Nothobranchius furzeri: one gene and its partner. The protein of the gene in region 1 interacts with the protein of each later gene in a pairwise test. Links are inferred from orthologs where the notes say so. Each region holds a gene or a part of one and is shown in the gene's direction. Other genes may lie near its edges.

Region 1 (7,091 bases):
GGAGGGGGGAATAAAAGCAGTAAAACAATAAAACTTTGAACATTACAACACAAAGAGAAAATAAATAATGTTACAGCAATTGCGGAATGCCATCTGCGGGATTCGAACCCGCCGCAACGACCAACCAGTAGGTGTCAAACCATGACTAATGAGTGCAAGCCTTGGCGCTCAGGGACACCCATCAGATTGTGAGGCCACAGCACATACGTTTTAGACTGGGTGGGATTCTTATACCCAACAGGAGTCTTCTGCCCGCCTTCTCATTAGAATATGCATAATTTGTGTTTCAGGCACTAGTTAACTAGTGAGCTGCTGCACTCCCACACATGTAAACTGGTGAAATTTCAATTGTTCCACTAGTTAACTAGTGGACAAAAATGGTCAGCTTGTATGTGTTTTTAGATGCAACTAGTTAACTAGTGAGCAAATCCGCACCTCACTAGTTAACTAGTGAGGTGCAGATATGCTCACTAGTTAACTAGTGAGGTACTAGTGAGGTGCAGATATGCTCACTAGTTAACTAGTGAGCATATCTGCACCTCACTAGTTAACTAGTGAGCAAATCCGCACCTCACTAGTTAACTAGTGAGCATATCTGCACCTCACTAGTTAACTAGTGAGCAAATCCGCACCTCACTAGTTAACTAGTGAGCAAATCCGCGCCTCACTAGTTAACTAGTGAGCAAATCCGCACCTCACTAGTTAACTAGTGAGCATATCTGCGCCTCACTAGTTAACTAGTAAGCAAATCCGCACGTCACTAGTTAACTAGTGAGCATATCTGCGCCTCACTAGTTAACTAGTGAGCAAATCCGCACCCTACTAGTTAACTAGTTGGCGTTTTGGGGCCCACTAGTTAACTAGTGAGCATATCTGCACCTTACTAGTTAACTAGTGATGCTTTTTTGCACCTTACTAGTTAACTAGTGGGCGCTTAATGGTGCACTAGTTAACTAGTGAGCAAATCTGCACCTCACTAGTTAACTAGTGAGCATATCCACACCTTACTAGTTAACTTGTGGGCGTTTTGGGGCCCACTAGTGAACTAGTGACACTTATTTTGCACCTCACTAGTTAACTAGTGGACATTTGTACCCTCTCTAGTTAACTAGTGAGCAGTTCCGCCTTCACAAGTTTACATGTAAGTGTCACACTGAAGCCACTACTAGTTTACTAGCTGAGGTTCCTCTGGCCAGCATGTTAACTTGTGTGCCGCATGCAAATGTTTGGGGTGGGATTTTGCAAAATTCCGCACTGTGATTGGTTTTCATATTTTATTTTAACATAGTGAGCCAATAGAAAGCCTCAATTTGAGAAATTCTCTGCCTCCTAATTAGAATTCTGTGCAACTAGCTAGCTAGTGTGAATGTAGGCTTGAACTAGTTTACTAGTATACATTTATGTCCTCACTAGTTAACTAGTTTGGACAATGGATGCATCAACTAGGTAACTAGTGAGCCTGCTACAATCAACTAGCTAGCTAGTGAGTCATTAATGGTTCACTAGTTAACTAGTGGCACTGCCCTACTCCAACTACTTAACTAGTTAGGAGTTTTGCCTTCACTAGTGAACATGTGGACACTTTGAACTGTCACTAGTTAACTAGTGAGACACAAAAACCTTCAACTAGCTGACTGGTATGCATTTTAGCCCTTACTAGTTAACTAGTGAGCCATTTTTGTGTCACCTAGTTAACTAGGAAGCCAAAATGTGTTCACTAGTCAACTAGTGGGCATTTCTTCTGTCACTAGTTAACTGGTGTGCACATTTTGGCCATCACTAGTTAACTAGTGAGACACAAAAACCTTCAACTAGCTGACTGGTATGCATTTTGGCCTTTACTAGTTAACTAGTGAGCCATTTTGTGTCACCTAGTTAACTAGTGAAGCCAAAATGTGTTCACTAGTTAACTAGTGAACATTTCCGTCTCCCACTAGTTAACTGGTGGGCTCATTTTGACCCTGACTAGTTAACTAGTGAGACACAAATACCTTCAACTAGCTGACTGGTATGCATTTTGGCCTTTACTAGTTAACTAATGAGCCATTTTTGTGTCAACTAGTTAACTAGTGAAGGTCAAAATGTGTTCACTAGTTAACTAGCGTGTACAGTTTGACCCTCACTAGTTAACTAGTTGACCTGTTGACAAGATATCAGAATTAATGCTCAAGCGGCTGGCCAAATTGGGCAAAGTTAACAAGTGGGATTTTTACATTCAGTAGTCAGCTAGTACGAGTTTTTGTACCTTACTAGTTGACTAGTAAAAACTAAATGTGTTTTAACTAGTTAACTAGTGGACATTGATCTGTCCACTAGTTAACTAGTGAACACACTGAGCAATACTAGTTAACTAGTAAGATATGAAACATTTTAACTAGTTAACTAGAGAGAATTTAGGCCTTACTAGTTAACTAGTTGACATTTAGGCTGTCACTATTTAACTAGTTGACACAAACATGGCTAACTAGTTAACTAGTGGACAGAAATGGCTTACATGTTCATGACAATTCTGGCTGATATCCTGATATCAGAATAAATGCTCATTTGGCTTGCCATACTCAGGAGATCGAAACTCAGACCTCTTTTTGCTATACATTCATGTGGATGCCTTGGCTGAAGAGCACCAGTGAGAGTACCAGATAATGTTTTACACCGCTGCAGCACTTCCAGCATTTTTTCTATTTTCAACACTTTGGGGGTGTTTTTCATAAGGAAATAACAGCATAACATGGTCATAAGCTTTTAAAAACCATACCGAGAAATAAAAATTCCATTAAATATCTTAGAAAAGCTCCTACGTTGAAAACAGGTCATTAATGCAAGGTCAGAATGAAAAACTGTGAAACATACTAGGACAATTATTTTCTCTAACACAACATTTCTGTTTCAGGTCAGATGCAGAAACCTTTTGAAGACGCCTCCTTTGCTCTGAAAGTGGGAGACATGAGTGGTCCTGTTTTTACCGACTCTGGAGTCCACATCATCTTACGCACGGGCTGAATGCAACACACACACACAGCACCACCTTCTGCTCTTAGAATGACAGAAAAACAAAGGATAATTAAATGACACTGAAATGCAATGAGCGTTTCAGATATTCCTGATTACTTCAAGCTTTTAATAACCAGAAAACGGCCGGCATATATGAACATTATTGCCTGTTGTAATAAATGCCCTCCAGAAACACTCAGCAAAAATGAGCTAAAGCAAAATGCTAGAATCGGGTCGTGCATGTCAGAGTGTTATGTTTTTCTGTAACAGGTTTCATTCCTGCTGTTGGTGTGTGCCTAAGCAGTAATCTAATCTGTTTTTGTTTCTTTGGTTCTGTTTAGAAGGTTTTAAAGACAGTTAGGGTGAACAAAGTGTTATTTTACATTCTTTACTCTCATCACATGACTTTTTAGTTAAACTTTGTTTTCGGCAGAGATTCAGAAATCTTCATTTCTTTTTTTGGGTTGATAATGTGCATGGTCTGTTCCCCCCGGACTTATCAAAAGCTTGCAGGTTTTAGCGTAAAGTAAAGGCTTTTATAGCTTTAATGCTCAGATGAACTGTTACCACTGTTGTCATTGGGGAATACAAATAAAAAATAATAAAAAATCTGTTTCATTTTTATTAATTTTTTTGTCAAATTTTTTTATGTTACGTTTCAGGTTTCTAGATTCCTAAAAACATTTAATCCACACAGAAATATGCCTGAGTATTGTAACAGAAAAACAGATTGAAACAAATAAAAACAAGGGGGTTGGTGGAAAACCTTCCCAGATAGTTGTGTACTGAGTCGTCTGCTTCAGCTCTGTGATATTTTGTTAACATTTTACAAACTGAGTGTATTGTCACTTGTCTGGTTCCTGGTCCCAAATGACTTCCTTGTTGGATCTCCTCCAGCTAGTGGACCCCTCGTCCCCCAAAATAAATCACTGACATGTAAAGCGAATGACTGCTAACTGAAGCTAATTCCAGAGCAGTGGCAGATTTTTCTGAATACGGGGCCATCAAGGGGCCACGATACAGAGGGGCTAAGTATTAGTCCAACATCTTTACACAAAGTTTCCTATCTGGCTCTTTAGTGTTTGGACTTGAAATTGCATCCACTTAATTTCATTCCAGTTCAACATTATTATTGGTGCATTGAGATCAGTTCATTATTCCTATGTAAGAAAACCCAGCAGACTGCATGGAGTCGCTGACTTGTGTCTGAGACTTTACAGTGATCCCCATATTAAGCAAGCATGTAGTGAGAGTGGAGAGGAAAACTCCAACAGAATACGTCTGTTTTTCCAGAAACACTACTCAGAGCAACTCAGACTGATGCAGCTTGGTCTGACCACTGTTCTCAAGGGCGTGGTTTGGTATTTTTCCTCTAGTTTCTCCCCTAATTTTAGTCCCTGCTGCGAGGTACCTGGCAAGGCTGGGTCGGGCCAGCATCGTGATTCTGGCCTCTGATTGGCTAAGGGGCGGAGTCACCGGTTGATCCAGATTTTTTTGTCTTGTTAGGGTTTCCCCCAGAAAATGAGTTAAGCCTGGCGGATTCGGCCGTCGGGGGGGGGGGTCACGCGCTCCGTCCAGCAGCGCTCCTCCTGGGGGGGGATTTGCACACGTTCCGCTGCTGTGTCTCACCAGTATCAGCTGATGGAGGGCTCTAGTTTCGTTGTGCTGTTCGTGTCAGCGGACACGATAGGGTCGGGGAGGGGGGCGGGTGGCCAGACTTATAAAGCACTGGGGGAAACCCTGTTTGTGTTTCACTGCCTGCAGCCATTTCCTGGTTCAGAGTCCGACAAAATGTCATAAAACTGAGCAAAGTGTCTAGCAACACCAACATTTTTCAGCTGAGTTGTGTTTGTGTGGAGCATAAGTTATCTTACACTGTTTACTGATATCCTCATGTTATTTTGTCATGAGTAAAGATCACGCAGGATCTTGAAATGAATCCTGAAGTTGACTGGCAGCCCCTTGATGCAATTTGCTGGGTTCCTTATATAGGAAACGTTTTTCTGATTGGCTTAATGAACTGACCTGTATTGGAATGTTTTATTATGTGAAGTGCCTTGAGACGACTCTTGTCGTGATTTGGCGCTAGATAAAAAAACTTGAATTGAATTGAACCACCTGTAGATGGGTCAGGGAGGTTCTGCTCAGACACGTGAAGAGAAAGTTACAGTAGTCTAAGCGTGAGGAGATGAAGGTGTGGATAACTGTCTCAAGTTCAGAGCGGGACAGAATGGGACTCAGCTTAGCAACGTTCCTGAGATGGAAGGAGGAAGAGCGAACAAGAGTACTGACATGAGAATCCAGGGTGAGAGCTGGGTCAAAGGTCATGCCAAGATTCCTGACAGAGAGTTTTGTGTGAGAAGCAAGCTGACCAAGAGAGTCTCAGCCAAACGTGTCACTGGGTTGGGGATTTATTCTGTAATAAGAAATTGCAAACTTCCATAATGATGACTGAACTCAGATTTTTTGTTTTTGTTGTTTTAATTGTGTGGGTCACACAGACTTATGTTACTGCTCATAACAAGTGATTCAGTCAGTTCAGTTACAACAGGCTCTCTTAGCTAACTGACTTAACAAGTAAATGAGACATAAGTTTCCATGGATGTCACAAATATCAAATTTAATCACATGTAATATAGAAATGACAAACTTCATTGAAAACAACTTCAGCTGAGGATTCTTGAATTATAAAATCCTGCAAGTTCTTGAATAATTGCAAAACATTAAGTTAAGGCTGTGAACTGTAAAAAAGCAAATCCAAAGCAGCATCTTTCACTGACCAACTGCTACAGGGATCGGGCAGACAGCGTGTCCATAGACCGATGTACCAGAAGTCTTTCATGGCTTTGATAGTTACGAGAAACTGTGCTTCAATGGATGGATCAGAAAAGAGCTGGTATGTGTCTCAAATCATTTGAGGAGATGACCGTACATTACTCACGGACCAAACTATACGGCACCAGTAGCAGCTCACCCATGGGGGCACTGGGGCACTTTTCTCTTTGAGTGGGGAAAATAAACAAACTACAATAAATATTTTCTACAAATGTGTCGGATTCAATTTTTTACACACCCTTTTCACCAGCTGTCGTTCATTAAACAATACATTTCCTCCAACCGACTCAGTAGTTACACTCCTGGGCACTGGGAAAAATGCCCCCAAACTGCAGCTAAATAGCCAATCACATTTGGTTGCTAGGGAGAACTTGAGAATTTTGGGCCAATCAGCATCATGCAAATTTAATGAAAAAAAAAAGGGGGGGGAAGCTAGCTAAAATGCTACAAGGTGCTGAATCCCCCTCCCCACCTCCCCATCCTTATAATGAATTTGGCTAAATAAATTTAACAGTTAAAATCAATCTCTTGAGAAAAACCTGTAATTTAATTTAAAAAAAAGTTTTCATATAAACATTTAGATCTGACATACATATACTTGTTTATTTTTTTCTGATTTAACATAACTTCTGGAAACCACATAAGTGTGATTCCTCCATCCATCAAATCAAGTTAGCATAGTTCACATTTGCATTTAGACTTTTTTAATCTATTGTGTTGTGAGGAAAGTTGTTGAGAGTTTCCATTTTACACAACTTATCATGTGCTTGTGGTCTTCATCAGCTCCATCTTAATATTTGTAAATATGTATTAATTCCAAAAACGAGTTCAGTGTTAAATCATACTGAATGCCTCGGCTGCTGCTGTGGATCTGCTGCTGCCGGGGCGGATGGCTCCCCTGATGGTGTTTCCTTCTCCTTATCTTAGCTGGTCTGGCTCATCTGATCACAGTCAATCGTGTTTTTTTACCATGGGGAAGGGGGCATGTATGTATGTGTGTGTGTGTCAAAGTCATTTATTGTCATTTCTACCACATGTGCAAGACATACAGAGAAACGAAATTGAGTTTCAGTACACACAATTCAGAGATCAGAAGACAGGTTCCACAGCATCTGTCTGCATTCCTTCCTTCGTGGGGGATGATTATTTGCTGCTTCAAGGCTGCATGGCATCAGATAAGGATAACAAGACTGTGTTTGGGTCACGCAGAGATAATTTTCCCTGTGCCTTCAGTCTGTAACTGGTCATTCCAGCCCGTCAGTGAA
Region 2 (7,893 bases), on another chromosome or scaffold:
CTGCACAAGGTAATATTTTCTGCAAACTGCCTCAATCATTTGTAACTTTTTTAAGTGAGTTGTGGGAATTAGTTGAACACACAATCCAATCAGACCACGTCTTACTAGCCTGTTCGAGTTTAACCACAAACTTGAAAATAAGATGCAGACGGGTTCCCAGAGGATAAGGCTTCCTAAAGTTCCTGCATAAGACAGGCAGATTAAAAGGAAATAAAACGTCATTAATAAACTCCTTAACACCAGTAGTGACAGAGAGAAGAGGACATTTCAAAGGTCAGAGGTCATGAGCCTCTCTGCTTTTGGGAATAAGTGGTTCCTCAGTCTTGTTCTGCGCCTTCTGAATGAATCAAACCTGTTTGTTGATATGATGGTGCCACGCTCACAGCCTGTTTTCTCTGATGTGTGTGTAGCTGGAAATGGAGATCCAGCTGGTATCGGAGGCCTATGAAAACCTGGCCAAGTCCTCCTCCAAGAGGGAGGCGCTAGAGAAGACCATGAGGAACAAGTTGGAGCTGGAGGTGCGCCGTCTGCACGACTTTAACAGAGATCTGCGAGGTGAGTGCAGAAACGCACACCAATAAATCGACAGGACCTTACCGTTTTCTATCAGTCAGATTACAGAAAGGTCCGTTAGAATCCTCCAAAGTGGGTCAGAATCTACTGATTTCTTTAATCCTGTCTTGTTTTTCTGTTCTGATGTGAACAAACACAAACCAGAAGCTAAGTTGTGAGTGAGGATGGTGAAGTTTGCTTTTACACACCCGTTAAAACCACCAGAAGGCTGTTCTCAGGGTGGAGGTGGGCTTGGCCATTTTCAGAAAGTAGGGTCTACGCTTAACGTTGGCTGTGTGAAAAGAAAAGCCTCTTTGTTTTTGTGTTTTAGATTCAAAAACAAATAACAAAAAAATGAGTCACTTATTGTTTTTGGATCACACTAAAATAAAAAAGAAGAAATGATGGGCGGCTTTTGTTTTGCTCTGCAAACAGCAGCTTATCCAGCACAGTTGTGCTCTTCTTGCAGTTTGTGTTCTTAATATTTTGTATCCATATTCTGAGTCACTATTAAACAACAGCAGCGGTGGCATGAATCTGTTCTGCTGCGTTTCCACAGAGCGCATGGAGATGGCCAACAAGCAGCTCGCCTCAAAAGAGTGTGACGGCTCAGAGGACAACCGCAAAACCATCTCCCAGCTGCTGACACAGAGTCAGACACACACTCACACACACACACACACGCACGCACGCACGCACGCACACACACACACACACCCTAACCTGATGAATGATTCCATATTGCCCAGCTCTACCTCTTCATGCTGAGTTTCCATTCTTCTACATCTACAGACAAAGAAACGCTGCGTGAGAAAGAGAAGGTGGAGATGGAGCTAAATGCCCTCCGCTCCACCACAGATGACCAGAGGAGACACATCGAGATCAGAGACCAGGCCCTCAACAATGCTCAGGCCAAAGTGGTCAAGCTGGAGGAGGAGGTAGTGCTCTTTTACGTAGTCCGTCTGTGTAAAAACGTCCTCCAGTGGTGGGTCAGCCAGTCAGGGGACAACGGGGAGTTAGACAGGACTGAGGGGTTCCCGGTCAGGGAGAGGACGAGACGAGGAGGAGAGTGCAGCACAAAGAGGGCGAATATTAGAGGGAAAACACTTGCAATGGCCGGCTGATCTGGTGTTTAACTGATAGCTTTGTCTGGTCATTATTGACTCCAGTTAGGAAGCAGAATATTGACTCTCTGATGACGAAATTCATTCATCCAGCCGGAAAGATTGACGCTGCTGCAGCTCGCAACATCAGACAGCTGGTGCTGCCTTACAAGCTCCAAACGCTGAGTTTGAAGTTTGTTTCACCGTGTTTGGGACATGGTGGATGTACAAATAATGGTTAGAACACCGCTAACCCTAACCGCGGCAGATGCGCTACATATGGAAGTCAAAGTGTGCCGCATAATCATCAAAATAAAATTTAAACATTAAAATTTATATATATAAATATATATATGTATATGCATGTATGTATGTATGTATGTTATATATATATACACACACATATATATATATATATATATATATATATATATATTAGATTTGATTCTTTTTTTCAGAATCAAACATAATTTTAATCACCTTTGAAACGTACAATCCTGGAAAAACCTCGTCCAGCTAGTGTGAACGTCCTGTTCTCAGTGATTAGATCATAATTCATCCATCAAACTGTCCAGAGCTGTGTTTCTAATGTGTGTGTGTGTGTGTGTGTAGCTGAAGAAGAAGCAGGTTTACGTGGAGAAGGTGGAGAGGATGCAGCAGGCTCTGGCTCAGCTGCAGGCAGCTTGTGAGAAGAGGGAACAGCTTGAACATCGGTTGCGAACAAGACTGGAAAGAGAGCTGGAATCTCTCCGCCTGCAGCAGGTAAGGCAGCGTTGTGCACTCACGGCTCCTCGACTTCATCACAAGTTATTGAGCAGGCCTGTTGTGGGGGTGACCATGCATCTGGGTGCAGCTAAATAAAACAAGCTAAGTAAAAGTAGCAGACAATGTTCATAAACGCTCCACCACACCTGGTCTAACACGTTCCTCAGCTTATCTCACATCTCCAGAGTTTGCAGCAGAAAGAGTTGTCCGTTCCTGAGTGTCACGCTAAAGTCGTGTCAGAACACTTGTAAGACTGGAGATGTCTTCTCTGTCTAGTTCATTGTTGATCTGCACTCCAAAGCAGGAGCACTGGGAAGTCCTCCACCTGTTCTTTTGGCTTTGCCACTTTAAGCCAGGATCACATCAGCAGCGAAGCGCCACTAAGTGGATCGCTCACGAAATTTGAGTGCTGCCCGCTGCTGCTCTGTTTATATCAGGCGAGATTTTTCAACAAGCGCTTCTGCTCACGCCTACCGTCCCCCCCCCACCCCCCCCACCCCACCCTCATGCCCTTGCTGTGCGTGTGTGTGTGTGTGTGTGTGAGTGTTTGTGTCTTTGTTCATTTTCATCTCTATTCTGTTTAGATACACAAAAATGATCACATTTATCAATCGCTGTGCTTTATTTAGAAAAAAGTCTTTATTTTGTTACATTTACTGGCCTGCCTCTTCTGTTTGACTTCCTGACAAAATTCACACGGCTCGTGAAAAAGAGCACACACCAAAATGATCGCTGCACGCCGCGAGCCTTCGGCACTTCACAGCTGATGTGATTGAGACCGTAGGTTAACAAGGGCGCCGAGTAGAAGCGCTCTTCGTTCCACAGCGCTTCACGACGCATCGTCGCGCATCTGCGTCTGATGTGATCCAGGTGTTGGGCTGCAGGGGATTCTGCTCTCCTGCCTTGTACTTGGCTTCATTCCTTCCTGATCATACAACGTCAGGCATCAGAAAGGTTTAGGAGGTGGCAGCTCTCCTTGAGTGAAGACTAGACCACAAGGCCCACACCTGTGGAAACTCTAAATATAACAGTTAATATTTTAGTAAAACTCAAACACTTTTTAACGTTTTGTTCAGAAGCTTTGTTGCTTTTGTTTCTACAGTAAACATTTTGACGGGGAGATAAAACCCCACTTTTACCTTTTTGTCTCCTCGCCTCGCAGCGTCAGGGAAGCTCTCAGAGCAGCGGTGCCGTCCCGTCTGAGTACAACGCCACAGCCCTGATGGAGCATCTAAGGGAGAAGGAGGAACGGATTCTGGCTCTAGAGGCCGACATGACCAAGTGGGAGCAGAAGTACTTGGAGGAGAGCGTGATGAGGCAGTTTGCTCTGGATGCTGCTGCTTCTGTTGCTACTCAGAGGTGAGCGTTTCTCCAGTTAGGGGCGTTATGTTTATGTTTATGTATTTAGCAGACGCGTTTGTCCAAAGCGACTTACAAGTGATAATCGGCATGTTGCCCTTGAGGCTAACAACAACTTGACATCAGTCATGGAGAGGAGGGAACAAGGAGTGGACAGTAGAGAGGGGGGACGGGTGCAGGGAGGGTGCTAGTTTAGAAGATGCTCTCTGAAGAGCAGGGTCTTCAGGAGTTTCTTGAAAATTGAAAAGGAAGCCGCTGTTCTGGTAGTGCTTGGAAGGTCATTCCACATTTGTGGAACGATGCATGAGAAGAGTCTGGATTGTCCTGAGCGTGGTGTAGGCACTGCTAGCCGATGATCCTGTGATGACCGGAGCGGCCGGGCCGAGACGTAAGCCTTTGCAAGAGGATTCAGGTAGAGGGGAGCCGTACCATCTCGGACTTTGTATGCTAGTGTTAGCAATTTGAATTTGATGCGTGCTGCTAGCGGTAGCCAGTGGAGCTCAATGAACAGAGGGGTGACGTGTGCTCTTTTTGGCTGATTGAAGACCAGACGCGCCGCTGCGTTCTGGACCATTTGAAGAGGTCTCACAGTACAGCCTGGAAGACCAGTTAGAAGGGCATTGCAGTAGTCGAGGCGGGAGATGACAGTAGATTGCACCAGGAGCTGGGTGGCATGTTGTGTTAGGTATGGTCTGATCTTTCGTATGTTATACAGCGCAAAGCGGCATGAACGAGCAACAGAGGCAACATGATCTTTAAAGGTCAGGTGTTCATCAATCACAACACCCAGATTTCGAACTGCATTTGAAGGAGCCAGAGACAGGAAGTCATTCTGGATTGAGATATTGTGCTGTATGGATGGTTTCGCTGGGATGACAAGTAGTTCAGTTTTAGAGAGGTTGAGTTGAAGATGGTGGGATTTCATCCATTTTGATATGTCAGAGAGACAGTTTGATATTCGTGCAGAGACAGTGTGGTCGTCTGGTGGAAATGACCGATAGAGCTGGGTGTCGTCTGCATAGCTATACGTCTCACGCAGGAACATCTGGACTTGGGTCATTTAATGTCCAACATACTCGTTACCTTACCAACATGTGGTAAGTGTAGTCAGTTAGAGATTTTGTAATAGGAATCCTCTACGTGTTAGGCTGCACGCTTCCATTTAGCCCACAGCAGGTGAAAGATCGCATCTCATTACAAAATCTCAAATGAGCCAAAAATCCCCACTAGACTGAAACCGATTATAATATCCAAAAGCTGCTGAGTATGTTGTTGTAGTCCCACATCAATCGAATCTTCTGACCAGCGTCATAGGAACAGCACAGTCTGTGTAAGGCGGGAGGAATTTCACGTTGTTCTCAATGAAAATGTTACATTACCATGGTAACCCCACATGTAATACAAGTAATAATTTACACTTCTTGTGCCTGAACGGAATGTTTTGAGGAGTAAATTGTGCTGGTGAATGAATGAATGACATCTTCATTTCAGACATAAAAAATATTAATTATATTATTTATTATTTTATTATTATTATTAAATAATTAATAACAGATCTAATCAGGAAATGACAGGAAAATTATGATGTGCTCATTAAATCCTACCCCCCAGATGCCTCATCCAATAAAAACACCCATATAAATATTTGTATACTTAAGGTGTCCTCCATGTCACACATAACACTAACTCGCTCACCAGATCATGCAGAAATACGGCCCATCACATGTACTCCTGCATTAATGATTCTTTTAATAAAATATTTTAGTTGATTTATAATTACACAGCTTTTTAATTCCTCATCAGCCCTGTTCCACACATTTCCTCCACAGACTGAAATGCACATTATCCTCATTGGTGTACATGTGGACACAGTCCCCATGTCCCATGTGCAAAGACTATTTTCAAAGGTACAACAAGGCAGGAGACTCCTGGTCTATGTATATGGACTAGAGTGAGAGACATGGTAAAACTCACCTGATGACTGGAAGCCGCCGTTCTGTTGACGTGAACTTTGACCTTTGTTGTGCAGGGATGCTTCTGCAGCAGGAATAAACCACTCACCAAGCAGCAGCTACGACACGTCGCTGGAAGCTCGCATCCAGAAGGAGGAAGAGGAGATCCTCATGGCTAATCGTCGCTGCCTGGACATGGAGAGCAGGTTAGAGCCACATTCACTGTGTGCACTTCTGTCTTCATTCACATGTACATGACGTGCAGGCTCCCCTCACCCTGACCGCTGAGGCGTCGTCGCTCCTGAACTTTAACTGCAGGAGTGATGAGTCAAAGACTTTTGTGAAACACCACATAGCTCAGACTACTGATGGATGGACCACCAGAACCACAGAAGTTTTCCTAACTCGGACTCATGGTTACATTACCAGTGTTAACCAGCTGAGAGCATTGTCTGGAAACTGTTAACCGCAGCAGAGAAACCTCTCCTCTCTGATGGAAATGCAGAGAGAAGGGTCACATGGTGTCACTGTATAGCTGTAAAGGTTCCTGTTACCTTGGGTCGGGGTTAAGGTTGTTGCCTATTGCTGAACCTGTTAATTAAAGAAGCAGGTGGGATTAGTGCTGACTTGCACACTCAATTTCTCTCGATTAAGGGAGCTAAAGCTGTATTCTGTTCTTATATCCTCCAGGATAAAGAATCTCCATGCACAGATCATTGAGAAGGACGCCATGATCAAAGTTCTCCACCAGCGCTCCAGAAAAGAGCCCACCAAGTCAGATGCACCATCTGCAATGAGACCATCTAAGTCTCTGATGTCCATCTCTAACACTGGCTCTGGTGGGTCAGGGTTACTGTCTCACAGCCTTGGACTCAGCAGCTCCCCGATCACTGAAGAACGCAAAGACACAAGCTGGAAGGGCAGTCTGGGTACAGACCTGTCTGTTTTTTTTCTTTTTGTGCTGAGGATTAACTTCTTTGTAAATCAGACGTCAGAAACGTAAACAAACCCAGAACAAAGTACTCTGTTGTCATAGAGTACCACTACAGACATTCTGTGCTTCTGTTTTTACCTACTTTCAAACAAATCATTCCCAAACTAAACACTGGAACTCCTTTGTCATCAATATCCTAACTTCATGAAGGAGTACAGTGTTTCATAAAAATCACAATTGTTGCAAAAATAAGAAAGATGAGCATTTTTAGAAGTGCCTAAATACATGAAGCAGAAGATGTCCTTGCTTTTTGATGAGATCTTGTTTTCTTGGTTTTCCAGGGGTTCTTTTGGGTCCAGAGTCTCTGAGGACAGAGTCGATCTCATCTTCCCCTTCTCCCATACTGTCTTCCACCTCGATGATCACAGGCCACTCTAAGACTGGCAGTAGGGATAGCTGCACACAGACCGACAAGGGTCAATGCCAGGACACCAGCAAGCCCAACACTCCAGTCCTGCAGAGTATGACGCTGCCAGCCCGCCTGTCCAGCCCCAGCCCGGTTTACATCCCTGATCGCTTAGCAGGTCAGCTCACTCCATCGGAATTACACAGGATGCTACAAGGTGAAGAATGCCAAGCCACTTTACTCTCACCTTACAAAGCAAACTTTACCAAATTCGCTTTACTAAAAACAAAACGCACTTTACTAAAGTAAAAATTTCTAAACAAAACTTCTAAAATGAACTTTTCCTAAAATCACTTTACTAAAACAAAACATACTTTACTAAACAGGGTTGGGCACCGAGCATCGATTTGAACCGGGACCAACAGTTAGTTTTTCCTGGAATCGTTCAAAGTTTTATTTCGATTCCTAGTTTTGATTCCTAGAATGCCGACGGAAGAGGAATCCGCGGCCGATTTCAGTGAAAAATAAACGTGATCTGCAAATTGTGATCAACACTTTTCAGAGCTGATCACACCAGCTGTCTGTGTGCAGCACCGAGTCCCCCCCTCCCTCCAACCCAGATATAAACAAATGCGTCTGCCGAACTTTTACTCCGTGATGTAAACTTTAACTCCTGCAGCGTAGAGGAAACGTGTTAAAATACATCAACACGGTGGATTTAATAGAAGCTTTAAAGAACAAACTCTGGATGGTGTGAGGTGAGTTTGTCTCACGGCAGAAATAAAAATACACACGGAGCGTCAGCGTGCGTGTGTGTGTGTG

The links.
Region 2: the proteins of pin1 (region 1) and amot interact in binary tests that used the Homo sapiens proteins (3 or more experiments, as listed by UniProt). The two-hybrid records come from large-scale screens. The link is inferred for Nothobranchius furzeri from reciprocal best matches to the Homo sapiens genes PIN1 and AMOT.

The regions. Positions count from the first base shown.
Region 1 is NC_091744.1:9,175,678-9,182,768, forward strand, and holds the end of pin1 (peptidyl-prolyl cis-trans isomerase NIMA-interacting 1), read left to right. Parts: intron 1-2,890; coding exon 2,891-3,000; 3' UTR 3,001-3,615; downstream 3,616-7,091. UniProt on the Homo sapiens protein: Peptidyl-prolyl cis/trans isomerase (PPIase) that binds to and isomerizes specific phosphorylated Ser/Thr-Pro (pSer/Thr-Pro) motifs.
Region 2 is NC_091750.1:44,156,035-44,163,927, reverse strand, and holds part of amot (angiomotin), read left to right. Parts: coding exon 1-9; intron 10-410; coding exon 411-555; intron 556-1,111; coding exon 1,112-1,204; intron 1,205-1,344; coding exon 1,345-1,490; intron 1,491-2,267; coding exon 2,268-2,417; intron 2,418-3,582; coding exon 3,583-3,779; intron 3,780-5,808; coding exon 5,809-5,937; intron 5,938-6,421; coding exon 6,422-6,660; intron 6,661-7,006; coding exon 7,007-7,288; intron 7,289-7,893.